Linked DNA regions of Elephas maximus indicus. The protein of the gene in region 2 interacts with the protein of the main gene of each other region in a biochemical or structural test. Links are inferred from orthologs where the notes say so. Each region holds a gene or a part of one and is shown on either strand. Other genes may lie near its edges.

Region 1 (7,232 bases), on a different chromosome or scaffold from region 2:
TGTGCAGTGATGTCAATTGTATTTCCACACAGCCTGAGCTGAACCACCCTGACCAGCGCCAGGCCCTGTCCGTGGTCCTGCCCTGCGTCTTTAACCAGCCTTGCGGACTGAGACACACAAAGCACTCGCATCTCCAAACCTGCAGGCAGCATAGCGTCTGAGTGGCAGAGGCACGATTGGAAATTCTCTCTATTGGCAGATAGAGTGAGATGAAATGAGCAAGATGGAATTTAACAGGGATAAGGGTTAAGTAACAGGCTCAGATGAAGAATTTTTGATGCAGGACAACAGGCCTGATTATCTTCAAAAACAGGGCTATTAAAAGGAAAAAAAGAAAAAAAAGAACTGTGCTACAAAAGAGAGACCTAAGGGTCACGATAACCACATATACCCACTGCACAGTCCCGGAGAGAAAACTGGTTTGAGTACAACAACAAAAATGGACATTTGGGAGTCCAGTGCAGAAACCTGAATAAGGGTCTGTGTATTTAAACGAGATGAAAATTTACTGGAGCAGAAAAGCGGGACTAGTACACGGGCAAATAAATTAGGTTACAAGACAGTATGCACAGTATGATCTCATTTTATGAAGAAAACCTCTGTATACGCATAGAAACGGCTCTGGAAGGCTGTGGCTAGGGTGTCACAGCACTGCTCCCTGGGAGATGGAATAGCAATACTTTTATTTTTGCTTGTCTATAGTTTCCCATATAAACCGCTTCTCTAATAATATATGAGCATGCTTTAAAAAAAAAAAAAAGACATCACTGACCTGCCCCAGGGTGGGGGGGTCTCTGGCTTGGCGGTGGTTCCGGAGAAGGAGCCCTGGGAGTCTGGGTGCCCACAAGCTTAACAGGAGTGGAGTGTGTGATGCACCACACATCTGCCAAAAGGCAGCTGTACCCTGAGCCCACGTTTACGTGTGAGGTGTTGGAGCTGGAACAGTCCTTGGTGGTGGGGGTGGGGTCTCCTGGTCTGGCCCCTTCATTATATCACTAGGAAAACTGAGTCACAAAATTAGCCCACAGCAGCTCCAGGGCCAGAAGCCAGCAGTTTGGCCCCTGCAGGTGATATGGAAATGGCTGGGGGCTTCAGGAGCTAGGGGAACTTGGCCTGGAATAGGGAAGATGGGAGTCCCTGGGTGATGCAAATGGTTAGGCGCTACTAGCTGAAAGGTTGGCAGTTCAAACCCACCCAGACGTGCCTCAGAAGAAAGGCCTGGCAATCTGCTTCTGAAAGGTCACAGCCTTGAAAACCCTAAGGAGTGCAGTTCTACTCTGCACATGTGGGGTCGCCATGAGTAGGAATCGACTTAATGGTAACTTTTTTTTTTTTAAGGGTAGATGGAGTGAGTGGGTGTGAAGGAGTGAAGGGGGCATGAGCGCTGTTTTCAAACATTTAAAGGCTGCCACGTAGAAGAGAGAACCATGTGAGTCAACGTGCAGAACTGGGATGACCAAGTGACAAGCAGGTTTGGGCTGTAGAGTCTGTGAGGGAGAAGAGTCTAACAACAGGAGCTGTCCAGGTTCGGGATCAGGTGACCAGGCTTGCTGGGGGCATGCCCCATGCTTGGGGGTTGCTCCTTGCCTCAGCTGGGAGTCACTACGGAAGAGTGGGAAGAAGCTTGGCTGGCCTTGGGGGAAGGACAGGGATCATGGTGGCTGCAGGAAATGCCCGTGAGCAAAGCCCTGCAGAGGGGGAAAGTGGCTGTGGCCCTTAAAAGGGCTTGGCAGGCTCTAACGGGAACTGCCTCATGAGCTCCCTGGGCTGGTGTACCTGAGTTCTCACACCTGACACCTGCCTCATTCCCTTCCACCTTCTGCTCTCAGGCACCCCCAGGTCCATGCCCAGGTGCTGGTGGAGAGACTGTCCATCACCTCCCACTTGATACGTGACAGGGAGGTACGGGCCCTATGTGGCCATTCCCAGCTTCTCTCATGTTCTAGAACACCAGGCTCGAGCTGTCCTAGGAACACAGTACCAAATAGAGCCCATTTGAGGCCAGTGGCCCCAGTCTCCCCATGCAAGACCCAAAGCCTTAGGTGGCTTTGAAAACATTGGTCTGTTGTGGCATTTATTGATGTTCTTTGCCCACCCCTCACTGGCCATGACTGCAGTCCTGCTAACAGTCAGCACTGTGCTTGCTTTCCCCAAACAGACCCAGCCCCACCCGTGGGGGCTGCTCTGCTCAGCTCCCACCCGGCAAGCTTGGCTCTGGCCAGCCTGCTGCAGCCAACAGGGTCAGCTGCCAGCCAGCCCTGCCTATCAGAGCCTGAATGGAGGGTCACCAGGCACTACCAAGAATCCAGGGTGGCCCCATCACAGACCCCTCCTTCTGTGTTCCAGGCAGGGTGGGTGCAGGCAGCAAAGGCACCAAAGCAGCTGGGTGCCCCTAGGGGCCCCCTCTACCCCTCGGCTAGGCCCAGTGGGGAGAGTACCTATTTACCAGTCACGGAATTCCAGACCTCTGCGTCCTGGCCTCCGCAGGGTAGAAATGGGGAGGGGGGTCCTGAGTCCAGATTCTGACAGCTCCTCCCCACCCCACATTGAGTGGGTTTGTAGATCAGGCGGAGGGACCAGCTCTGCCAGGGAGGGAGGTGGACAGGGAGGCCACCCTGGGCATGACATTCGACACCCGCAGCACAGGCTGGGGTCCGGCAGGGCAGGGGATACCCCGGGGTCCGAGGTCCTCAGCTCAGGTTGGCACAGGCAGTCTGACAGGGCAGGGGGAGGAGGGATTTCTCCCAGGAAGAAGGCCACCACCACCTTGGGTTTGTGGACGGAGAGGCTTGTCCGGGGCAGGTGAAAAGGCTGAGAAGCTGGGGGGGGCGGGGGAGAGGAAGGGTGGTCGTGGTGTCAAGGGTCGGCTTGGGAGGAGGCCAACCCGAAGGGCCTGGTGGGGGGAACGAAGGCTCGCGGGGAACCCGGGTGCCCCCTCCCGCCGCTGTGGCCCCTTACCTCCTCGCCCTGGCCGAAGCGCAGTCCCAGCGCCGCGACGCGCTCTACCCGCAGAAAGCCGTCGGGGTCACGGCCGCACACCTCGAATACCTCGCGCAGGCGGCGCACGGAGCGCAGCAGAGCCGCGGGGGCGCCCGCCCAGCCCGCGCCGCCCGCCATCCGGGCCGGCCGCACAGCTAGCCCGAGCCCCGCGCCGCGCGCCGCCGCCGCCGCCCGCCCTGCGCCGCCGCCGCCATCGCCGCGCGCCTCCGGGGCCGCCGCCGCCGCCCGCCCTCGCGGCTCTGCGGTGCGCAGCCTCCGCCCGGCGACGGCGGTGGCGGCGGCCGATCCGTGTCAGCAGCGGCGCCGCAGCCCCCGCCGCTCGGGCGGGCGGGCGGGGACGGGAGCGCGCGGGGGGCGGAGGAGATGCGGCAGACAAAAGGAGCCGCGCGCTTCCTCCCCGCGTGGGGCCGCCCGCGCGCACCGCCGCCGCCGCGGACTCGGTTTCCCTCGGCGTAAGCCCGCTCTCTGCCCCTGCAAAGCCGGGAGGGGGGCGCGCGCCCCGACCGCCTCCGAGCGCGGGACGTGGCGGAAATTCAGAGCTGCGCAGCGGCCGCGCCCACCCACCCTCTTGCCCGGCTTTGAGACTTTAGTTACGAGGTCCGAGCCCCCGGAGCACCCGCCGTGGCGTCCAACAGCCTCTTCTCAGCCCTCAGGGCCTGCACCTCACGGTCAGCCCGTCCTCACTTAGCCCTCCCTTTGTGGGTACCTCGTATTCGCCAAGCGCTCACCCACTATGTTCCCGATCCTCCGCAGTTATCTCGTTAGGTCCTCCCTAGTCTTTTTTGTGTGTTCGATCATTACCCTCTTTTCAAGGATGAGAAAGTGAGACCCAGAGAGGTCCGACTACCTACACCAGGCCACGAAGCTGTGACAGGCAGGGTCAGGATTCATACCCCTGCCTACTCTGAACCTTCTCGGTGCAGCCTTGGAGAGAGCAGACACCCCTGGTTTTAGGACCACACAGGCGTTCCAGACAGCGCTTTGCCCAGCATCTTCCAGGGCCAGAGGGGGTCTGGGGAAGGGCACAGAGAGAAAGAGCAGGGAACAGGCCTTAGCCTGGAACTGGACCCTGGGACAGGGGAGGTAAAGAGAAGACCAGGGACAGGTGGGGCTCCTCAGAGGAGGGAAAGGCAAGGCCATTCCGCTAGGCCACAGGGCTGCAGGAGGCCAGGTGGCAGGCAGAGCAGCCTGCACATCTTACAGCCTGGACTTCCCCCCTTCAACCAGCAGTGCTCAGCTGGGCTTTTGCCCCAGCTCCTCCTGGCGGGATTCCTACCTGGGCTCACAGGGCCCTGTAGCACCCAGCCTGGCTCTCCTTCCTCCACCTCATCACTCCACACATCAGACCCTTATGGCACCAGTTGCCCTGGACCTGAATACAGGCCTTGGCTGAACTGACCCTCATTTATGCTCTCTGGCTCCATGCAGAGGTTTCCTCCTCCAGGAAGCCTTTCTGGATGGCATTCCACCTTGCCTCCCAGTTTGAGTTCTGGGCCCTTTTTCCAGATGCCCCCTTAGCTCTATAATTCCCTGGTGGCATGCCCATCTCCACCACCACTCCAGGGCAGAATATGTCTTAATCACTTTCATGCCCCTGGTCTCCAGCCCCGGGGAGGCCCTTGAATTAAGTGGTTAAGGGCCTGCTGTCCTCAACATCATGCCCCCTCCCCCACCACCTGCAGGAGCAGAGAGTAGAAAGCAGTGTGAGGACTCAGACAGGGAGCTCAGGGGTGGCTGGGGCCTAGTTCTGCCACAGGGGCTGCTGGCCTCAACTCTCTGGGCCTCAGTTTCCACCTCTGAGGTCTTCCTGCCCAACCCCAAAATGCCCCCCGTACAGGGGCCACCTTGGAACTTCCCTGACAGTGGATCTGCCCCCTTTTCCTGCCCCAGCTCCAGGGGCAAACCTGGTCTTTAGCTATCCCTTCCCCTTGAGATACTAATTCTTCCAGGAGCCATGTAAGGCAGCACCTCCTGGGAAGAGACTTGTGGGTTTGAGGATCAGAGAGTCTAAAAAATGTGAGAAAGCAGGAAAGGGGAGGCCATGCAGGAGGGGGGTGAAGGGGAGGTGCTGGGAAGAGTGCGGGCTTCTCTGCTAGCTGGATGCCCCTCAGCAGGATACACTATTTTTGAGTCTAGGTTTTCTCATCTGTACAATGGGGATAATAACAGTACTTCCCTTATGGGTGGATGACTGAAGATTAGAACTAATGTATGCAAGAGTCTGGATGTTACATCCCCTTCCACCTGCCCAGTGGGGAAGGGTAAGTAGGGAGAGGATCAAGTGGGGTGGGAGGGGGAAGTGGCTGGCCCATGGGGATCCAACAAGTCCTCAGGCAGGGAGGTGGGGAGTGAAGCTGGGGTTGCTGCCTGCCCTTGGGGTCCTGATCTCCACAGTCAGCTCAGGCCCATTTTCTCTCACCGCAGCTCTTCCCTCTGCCTGGGGATCCTCACTCCTTCCCTGTCCCCCACTCCACTTCATCTGGCCAACTCCTGTCCTTCCAGATTCGGTAGGAGTGGCATCTCCTACAGGAAGCCTCCCCTGACCACAACACCCACCCTCACCTCCTTGCTTGCCTCTCCCCTGTGCTCCTGAGCATTCTGTACAGACAGGTGAAAAGTACAGACTGTGGAGCCAGACTGCCTGAGTTCAAATTCTGTCTGTGCTACTTCTCACTGTGTGACCTTGGGGAAGTTACTTAATCCCCTTGCATCTCAATTTCCCCCACTGTAAGGTGGGGATAATAATAGCCCCTATGACATAAGGCTTTTGTGAGGGTCAAATAAGTTAATAAATGCCAGAACAGTGCTGGTAGGTAAGTGCTGGCTGTTGTTATGATTATCTTTATCACCTCTTATTCCTGTTATTTGGTCACAGGAGTAGCTGGAAAACACGTAGGAAAGGTGTAGTCACACCTGTTTTCACTTTGTCATGGTTGCCTCCAGGACAGGAACAACCATGAGGTGCTTATTTCTCCAGCTCCTAGCACAGTGTCTGATACACAGCAGACACACAGTTCAGGTCCGTGCAGCAATAAATTAAGGAATGGACAAATATGGTACAGTGGGCTGAAAAATGTCCCTCCCCCCCGCAAAAGATATGTGCATCACATGGGGTCGCCATGAATTGACTCAGTGGCACCTGACAACCACCACCACCCCTGGAACCTGTAAGTGTTACCTTATTGGGATAAAGGGTCTTTGCAGGTGTGATTAAGGGTCTCAAGATGGGAGATTATCCTGAGTCATCCCAGAGGGCCCTAAATGTAACCACAAATATCCTTATAAAAGCGAGGCAGAAGGAGATCTGATGGCAGACAGAAGAGGAGAAGGACATGTGACCACCGAGACAGAGATTGGAGTGATGTGGCCACAAGCTACAGAATACCTGGAGCCACCACAGAGCTGAAAGAGACTTTCAGGAATGAGCGCAGCGTGCTGACACCTTGACTTTGGACTTCTGGCCTTCAGAACTGTGAGAGAATAAACTTCTTTCAAGCCACACGGTTTGTGATCATTCCTTACAGCAGCCACAGAAAACGAATGTATGCGATATAAATATCACGTGGACATCATTAAAGATTAATAAGAGGCAGGCTTTGGAACTCAAAACAGCTGGGCTGGGCACCAAGGTCTTTTAGCTCTGTCACTCTGGAGAAGTTAGCTTCTCTGAGCCTCAGTCTTCCCAGCTGTAAAGTGGGGGCAGTAGTCCTACCCTACAGAGTTCCTGAAAGTTGTTTTTTTTTTTTTTTCAGTAAGAAATGAATATAAATCGCCTTGGCCAGGGCCTGGCACAGTACCTGGCACCTGGTGGTTATCATGTGTGTCAGTCAGTATGAATCTGTTTAGAACCAGTTTCAAAGAGGAAACATTTCTACGGTTTAACCTATGGACCACGACTTCATCATGCATGTTGTCTGGAAGTGGGACAGGATTCACAGTTTCTCCTGTTCACGGCCTACTGGTTTTTTAACTCTGAATAATTATCGCTTTGGAACGGAGGAAGGTCGTGTGAACTTATTTTCCTTCTTCACCTGTCCTAAAATATGTCTCTGTCAGCAGACACAGCTGCCGACTGTTTGGAGACGGAGCTGCCAAGACCTAGCCCACGGCTGTGCCGAGACCACAGTTGGACTGAGGCGCTTCTGGGGTGCAAGAGGGCATCTCGAGACCTTGTGCTTCCTCTTTGCCGCGTAAACCCTTGTTGGGGAGGGGGCACCCAGGAAACAGGAGCT
Region 2 (8,120 bases):
ACTCTCTCACTGTTTAGTTTGCTAGGTAAGCCTTCTAACAGACATACAGCTTCTCTGTAGAATAAAACCATTTAAAAATGAAATTATTCTTCCTTCCCTTTAAAATATCATTACTATACTGATTAATAAATATAATCATTACATAAAATATTTTTTAAATATGATTTATAAAAGAATATGGCTAAATAATAAGCATTGAAGTTTTAAAAAACTGATTCACATCTTGTAAAAACTTTAAAAAAGTGAAAATCCTCATCACCACGTTTTTTAAAACACTATTTTAAAACAGCAGAATGTGCAACGAAATGAAATCTTAACATAAAATATAACATAGAAACAAAATACTTTAGAAGCTCCAAGTTTTGAGTTTCTTTACTAATATTTAAATGCTCACATATTTATAACGATTTAAGGTTTAAAAAACTGACAAGAACTTCTTCATTATTATCATTTATCGAAACCTCACAGAAGCTAAAATTTCAGTCTCATTTAATCCTTACAATAGAGTGGTCCTATCTCCTTTTTACAGGTGAGGAAACTGAGGTTCAGGAAGGTTAACTCTCCAAGGTCACAAAGCAAACATACGACCTGAGCCAGGATTTGAATCAAGGTCTGTGCAATTCCAAAGCCCTCAATCATTGTTAGACAGGTGGTCTAATTGCAAAATTATTTTGATATCAAAAGTTTAAATTCCTTAACAGACTGGAAGGGCTGACTCATTAGGGGCAGAGTAAGTGGGAGTATGGAGTAAGGTGTATATAAGCTTATATGTGACAGACTGACTTGATTTGTAAACGTTCACTTAAAGCTCAGTAAAAATTATTAAAAAAAAACTAAAGATTTCCTTTAAAAAAAAGTTTAAATTCCTTAAACCAATTCAGGACAATTAAAATTATTAATTTAAAAAGTTAATGGATTTCTATGCCCATCATTCAAGTTACAGACCAAACAGGAGAAATGCTCTGGACAGTCTGTCTTATTCTAAATTAATTACTTCAAAGGTAGCTAGCTGCCCTCTGCCACTGTGCCTTATTTAAGAAAACAAACCTTTATGACTTTAATGATTAAACCCCCCAAAGTCTCTAGGGACTCACAAAGTAATTTCACATCTCCCCAGATGCCTTCAGCAAGCAGTACATAAAGGAACCTAGGTTTCCCCTTTATATTTGTAAAATGCATTAAGGACCCTCTTCTCTGAAAATGCGTTTCCAGCATGGGGGCGAGGGTGGATACCGAAGGTTGGAACCCCACTATTATACTCCTCTGGGCCATATTTTGGCCCAGAGGAGTAAGTGATGACAAGGGTAGCTAGTATAATAAGATTTGCGAAGTATTGGTGAAGCAAAGAAATTTTTCCTGCCTCCTTTAGTCAGTCATTCCTAGCACCCAATGGCAAAGTCAGAAACACTGCCTAACACTCCGTTTAAACTCCACCCTCCACTGTGAAGCTTTAATAGCAATGGCTTCTTCCTCCCCAGTAATGATCTTTGTTCAGCACATTACTGACGCCTGCCCTCCTAATTCAGAAGCAGAGAAAGCGCATCGGCGTGAGAGAACATTCACTAAACAAAAAAGCATTTACTGTACTATTTTCTCATTGAAAAGTGTATCCTTCATCCTTGATGATTTAAAAAAAAAAAAGCTATTTGGATTCTTTCCGGACTAATAAGCAATTCTTTGTATCCATTTCCCCCACTCTCCAAAATGTTTTGTCCAAGGGCACTACATGTTTCTCTACCTTATAATAAATATTTAATATGACCCAAAAAGCATGCAACCTCCCCTCCCCTTACCCACCACCTTTTGGAAAAGGTATGGAGCCAACTAGGGCTCTTTCCTTCCTGTTCTAAAAACACCAAAAGATTGGATCCTCCCAGCGTTGCAGCAGGAAGCAACCAGACCATAGTGATAAAGCTCGCTAGTATTTGTGCAGCGCACAACCTTTCCTGCTCAGGAACTGGGCCTTCAGGTCTGGCAAGGATAACAGCCACCACCCATCCGCAGCCCCTTCTCACGAGTTATCCCAGGCTGGATGCCGCTGGGAAGGGCCGGCAGGAGGGGGAAGTCCTATCCGTGTGCCGGGTCATTGCGACAAGCGCGCGCCTGGGTGACACAATTCCCCTGGCCCCCCGCCCGCCCCCCGGGGTCGCACCAGAGACGTGGAAGGGAGGGATGGTGGAGGAGAAGCTGCCAGTCCGCGGGGCGGCCCGGGAGGTTACTGACCGCGAGAATAGCAGGGGCAGCGGTGGGGTGCGGGTGGAGGCCACTGACCCGCTCAGATTTTACCAGGGCTTGGCCGGGGGAGGGGGGGGCGAGGGAAGCCGGCTAGGAGGGGCGTCCGGCCGGCTCCGGGCTAAAGAGAAGCAGAGGAGACCTGGAGTGGGAGTCCCCGGGCCGAAGGACAGCCGAAAAGGGAAGCCAAGGGCCTGCCGGAGGGGCTCCCGGAGGGGCTGTGCGCGGAGACCGCTGTACCCTGAGGGGGAGGAGGCGCAAAGGCAGAAAAGGGAGATGGCACGAGGGGCCCTTCGAAGGGGCCTGGGCGCCCCGGGGAAGGAAGGAGGAAAACCCTCCGGGAGAAGGGAGAAGGCAGTCGCCGGGAGGACGCCCAGGGAGGGGTTCCGGGGCTAGCGGGGGCCTACGGGAGGTCGCTAAGATGGGTGTGTGGTGGGGACCCCTTGTGTGAGGGGAGCGAGGCTGGGCTGGGAGACGGCAGGACGAACGGCACAGAGAGGAAGGGCTGAGGCAGGCCCATGTCGGCACAGGGGTGGCCCGCGCGCGGGTCCCCCGGGAGTGTCCCGGGCCCCCGAGGGGGGACTCGGTAGAGAGTGAGAAAGCCCACAGTCTCACCTTTGAAGAGGTAGTCGTACTCGTCGTCGCGGGTGCCCATTGCGCGGCCGAGGAGCGAAGGGGCGGGAGCAGCAGCGGTATCGGTCGGTAGGACCAGGGGGCGTCGCTGCAGGGGTAACCCGAGCGCCGAGCTTCAGATGCCGGACCCGGTAAAGAGCCCCGCCCTGCCGCTGCGCCACTTCCGGCAGGCCCCAGCCCCTCAGGGGAAGTACTTCCGGGGAGGCGGTGCCCCGCCTCCAAGCCCAGAAACGTGGTACGCGGCCAGGGTCGCGACAGCCTTCCGTTTCTTAGTCCTTCAAGGAAGCTCAAATAGGAAAACGAGTCCTGGATGCCCAGCTGATCACGCCGTTAATGGCCTCTCGTTCATTCCATACGCACCTCGCACTGCCTTGCCGGAACCGGCGCTGGGAGCGCATCAGACCCGCCTCCGAATAGTGGGTTTGTGGATGGGGGCGGGGTTTTCTAAGGTTTAGACAGCTGAAGGCGGCTGCATAAGTGTGGCGGTTCCATGGTGTAATGGTTAGCACTCTGGACTCTGAATCCAGCGATCCGAGTTCAAATCTCGGTGGAACCTGCAACGGCTAATTTTTTTCTGATCACAATTATAGTTCGTTTATTCACTAAGTCGTTGTTGTACAACTGCGCTAGGTCTGGCGTTGAACTAAATAGAATGAGAATTTCGCAAAACACAATCTTTGCCTCTGGAGACCTCACAGATTATCCCTTTCAGTTCCATACTATCTGCCACCTCTACATGAGGATCTTGTGAGGAAGGAGCTTCTTCACTTAGCCTCTTTAGCCTCAAACCCTAATTCAAAAGCTTCTTCAGTGAAATTCCTTTTGCTGGAATTTTCTATCTCCAGCTCCATTAAAGAACAGGCAGGCTCTTCTATTCGCTCCTCTCTGGAAATCTCTCAAACTATCTCCAGATGTCACTCAGAGGACTTGGCCCACCCTCCTCATCAAGATTCATCCAGAACTTTGTGAGCCTTTACTATTTGTCAGCCTCTAACTTAAAGTAAGCCCGTTTTCACAATCATTTAACAGGAAGAGCAAAGGACAGCAATTTCCATTTTAGTGGCTTACTTTCCATTTTAGTGAATAGTAAGACTGAAGTGATTTGCCAAGGATCACAGCAGGCCTCCTTATATTTGAGAGTTTTGTAATTCCACAGAGCTCTTTCCCATTTATTGTAACATGCCGTACATACTGCCTATATACAAACTCTCAATTTAGACTTTTGGGGAAGGGTACTTGTAGGCAGAAACAATGGCCCTCCAAAAAAGTCCATGCCCTAAATCCGTGGAAACTGAATATGTTAGGTTACATGGCAAAGAAGAATTAAAGTTGCTAATCAGCTGACCTAAAATAGATGGATTATTCTGGATTAACCATGTGCACCCAGCGTAGTCATAAGAGTCCTTAAAAGTGGAAGAGAGAGGCAGAAGAGGTGAAAGCGATGTAATGTAAGAAGGATGGACCAGCCTTTGCTGGCTTTGAAGGTGAAGGAAGGAAGGGGGCCATGAGCCTAGGGATGAAGAGGCCTCTAGAAGCAAGGAAACGGATTCTCCCCTAAAGCCCCAAATGGAACACAGTGTGTTGACACCTTGATTTTAGCCCAGTGAGACCCATGTCAAACTTCTGACCTACGGAACCATAGATAATAAATTTGTATTGTTTTATGCTACCTAGTTGTGATCATTTCTTATGGCAGCAATATGAAACTAATGCAGTGCCATTGTCAGTGCTTTCTCTGCCAGTATAAAGTGATAGAAGGTTTATCTAAGGTCCTAGGTACTGCCTTGTGCACGGAGTGAACACTATCCACATTAGGGGAGAGGCAGGATGTTACACAAACAATCAAGTATTTACGGGATACCTATTACATGCTACTACAGATTATTCTTAAGTCACAGTCCCAGCCCTACTCAGGGATCAGACAAGATGGGCCCAAGAAAGAGGGAATATCAATAACTAAACAGTTCAGTAGGAATAACTAGTGAGAGTTCTTGTGATAAGTGCCAAAGTTCAGAGAGACTGATATAATTAGGGAGAACGCCCTGGAGGAGGTGGAACTTGCTCCATCCTCTAAAGGAAAACTCTAGGAAGGAAACTCATTTCGGGAAGCAGGAGAAATTAGATGGTAAGAATATGTTGAGCAAGGTGTTGATGCCAGAAGACTTTTGAACTTTTCCCCATAAGTCATTTTTTACAATGCGTGTTTTGAGGTCAATAGTCTTCCTAAAAAGAAGGATTGGCAGATAAGTAGAGCATTACTGAAGAGGAAGAACAAAGTGGGAGGCCTCACACTATCTGATTTTAGAACCTATTACACCACCACAGTAGTCAAAACAGCCTGGTACTGGTACAACAACAGATACATAGACCAATGGAATGGAATTGAGAATCCAAACATAAATTCATCCACCTATGAGCAGCTGGTTTTTAACAAAGGCCCAAAGTCTGTTAAATGGGGGGAAAAAGTCTGTAACAAATGGTGCTGGCATAACTGGATATTCATCTGCAAAAAAATGAAACAAGACCCGTACTTCACACCATGCACAAAAATTAACTCAAAATGGATCAAAGACCTAAATATAAAATCTAAAACGATAAAGATCGTGAAGAAAAAATAGGAACAATGCTAGGAGCCCTAATACATAGCATAAACAGAATACAAAATATAACTAACAATGCATAAATACCAGAAGAGAAACCAGATAACCGGGAGCTCCTAAAAAAGAAGCACTTTTACTCATCAAAAGACTTTGCCAAAAGAGTAAAAAGACAACATACAGACTGGGAAAAAATTTTTTGGCTACGACATACCCACTCAAGGTCTAATCTCTAAAATCTACAAGATACTGCAAAGCCTCAACACCAAAAAACCCATTGCTGTTGAGTTGATTCCGACTCATAGCGACGGGATATGACAGAGTAGAACTGCCCCGTAGGGATTCCAGGCAGCACCTGGTGGATTCCAACTGCCAACCCTTTGGTTAGCAGTCAAGGTCTTGACCACTACACCACCAGGGTTTCCTCGACAACAGAAAAAAAAACCCAATTAAAAAATGGGCAAAGGATATGAACAGACACTTCACCAAAGAAGACATTCAGGCAACTTGTATGAGGGTAGAGAGGCTGGGCTGGGAGACGACAGGAGGAAATGGTCATGATCAGAAATGCAAATCAAAGCTACAGTGAGATACCATCTCACCCCAAAATGGCTAGCACTAATCCAAAAAACACAAAATAATAAATGTTGGAGAGGTTGTGAAGAGACTGGAACACTTACACACTGCTTGTGGGAATGTAAAATGGTACAATCACTTTGGAAATCAATTTGGCTTGTCCTTAAAAAGCTAGAAATAGAAGTACCATATGATCCAGAAATCCCACTCCTTGGAATATATCCTCGAGAAATAAGAGCTGTCACATGAATAGATACATGTACACCCATGTTCATTGCAGCAGTGTTCATAATAGCAAAAAGATGGAAACAACCTAGGTGGCCATCAACAGACAAATGGATAAGCAAATTGTGGTATATACACACAATGGAATACTATGCGACACAATGGAATACTATGCAATGATAAAGATCAATGATGAATCCGCAGGTTGATCACTGATCTTTATCATTGCATAGTGTTCCACTGTGTTCATAATATTCATTCTCACAACATGGATGAATCTGGAAGGCATTATGCTGAGTGAAATTAGTCACAAAAGAACAAATATTGTACGAGACCACTACTAAGAACTCAAGAAAGGGTTTAAACACAGAAGAAAACTTTTTTTGATGGTTACGAGGGAGAGGAGGGAGGGAGGGAAAGGGAAATTCACTAACTAGATAGTAGACAATTATCTTAGGTGAAGGGAAGAACAACACACAATAGAGGGGAAGTCAGCACAACTGGACTAAACCAAAAGCTAAGAAGTTTCCGGAACACAACCAAACACTTTGAGGGACAGAGTAGCAGGGGCTGTAGTCTGGGGACCATGGTTTCAGGGGACATCTAGGTCAATTGGCATAACAAAGTTTATTAAGAAAATGTTCTGCATCCCACTTTGGTGAGTGGCATCTAGGGGTCTTAAAAGCCTAGTGAGCAGCCACCTAAGATGCATCAATTGGTCCCAACCCACTTGGGACAAAGGAAAATGAAGAACATCAAAGACACAAGGAAAATATCAGCCCAAGAGACAAAAGGGCAACATAAACCAGAGACTCCACCAGCCCGAGACCAGAAGAACTAGATGGTGCCTGGCTACCACCAATGACTACCCTGACGGGAAACACAACAGAGAGTCCCTGATGGAGCAGGCGAAAAGTGTGATGCAGAACTCAAATTCACATAGAAAGACCAGACTTAATGATCTGACTGAGATTGAAGGAACCCTCGAAACCATGGCCCCCAGACACTCTGTTAACCCAGAACTAAAACCATTCACTCTTCAGACAAAGATTAGACTGGACTATAAAGCATAAAATAATACTCATGAAGAGTGTGCTTCTTAGTTCAAGCAGATACATGAGACCAACAGGGCAGCACCTGTCCGAAGGCAGGATGAGAAGGAAGAAAGGGACAGCAGCTGGTTGGACGGACACGGGAAACCCGGGGTGGAAAGGAGGAGTGTGCTGTCACATTATAGGGATTGCAACTAGTGCCACATAACAATATGTGTATAAATTTTTGTATGAGAAATTAACTTGAGCTATAAACTTTCATCTAAAGCACACACACACACACACACACACACACACAAAGAAAGAAACCAGAGACAGGACCCCGATTCCTGCCCCAGGGATTACAACCCAGGCTCAGACCAGGCTTTTTTCCAAAAATGTTTTTAATTCCAACATCCGTCTTAATGGCATACTACTGCATACTAATTTATCCAGTAGTTGTTGTTATACTGAAAATGAAAGCTAATGATTTCAGCTACAAACAACTAAGCCAATACTATAAAAATATATTGTAAGACACTGAGAAAAAGAAGGGTTGCATGGTCAAACGCATTGAGAAAAGCTACACATTGTCTCTCTCCTTAGGAACTCCCTTAGTGCAGTGACAATTTAAAGTCTCTAGAAATTCTGCTCTGATGAAATCTTTTTTTTTTTTTTACCTGTATTGAACACAGCATTTACCAGATTCACGAGATCACAGAACTCTCTTCCCATGTGACACCTGTTAGCGTGCCTCTGAACACTTTGGTAGATGCTCTGACATGGAGTCATCATTAAAGATTTGTGAACAGAGGGGTAACTGAGT

The links.
Region 1: the proteins of RAB11A (region 2) and RAB11FIP4 form a complex in vitro, tested with the Homo sapiens proteins (2 studies listed by BioGRID, with this or other methods). The link is inferred for Elephas maximus indicus from reciprocal best matches to the Homo sapiens genes RAB11A and RAB11FIP4.

The regions. Positions count from the first base shown.
Region 1 is NC_064837.1:26,117,593-26,124,824, reverse strand, and holds the start of RAB11FIP4 (rab11 family-interacting protein 4), read right to left. Parts: upstream 3,118-7,232; coding exon 2,959-3,117; intron 1-2,958. UniProt on the Homo sapiens protein: Acts as a regulator of endocytic traffic by participating in membrane delivery. Required for the abscission step in cytokinesis, possibly by acting as an 'address tag' delivering recycling endosome membranes to the cleavage furrow during late cytokinesis.
Region 2 is NC_064831.1:55,954,358-55,962,477, reverse strand, and holds the start of RAB11A (ras-related protein Rab-11A), read right to left. Parts: upstream 3,034-8,120; 5' UTR 2,888-3,033; coding exon 2,848-2,887; intron 1-2,847. UniProt on the Homo sapiens protein: The small GTPases Rab are key regulators of intracellular membrane trafficking, from the formation of transport vesicles to their fusion with membranes.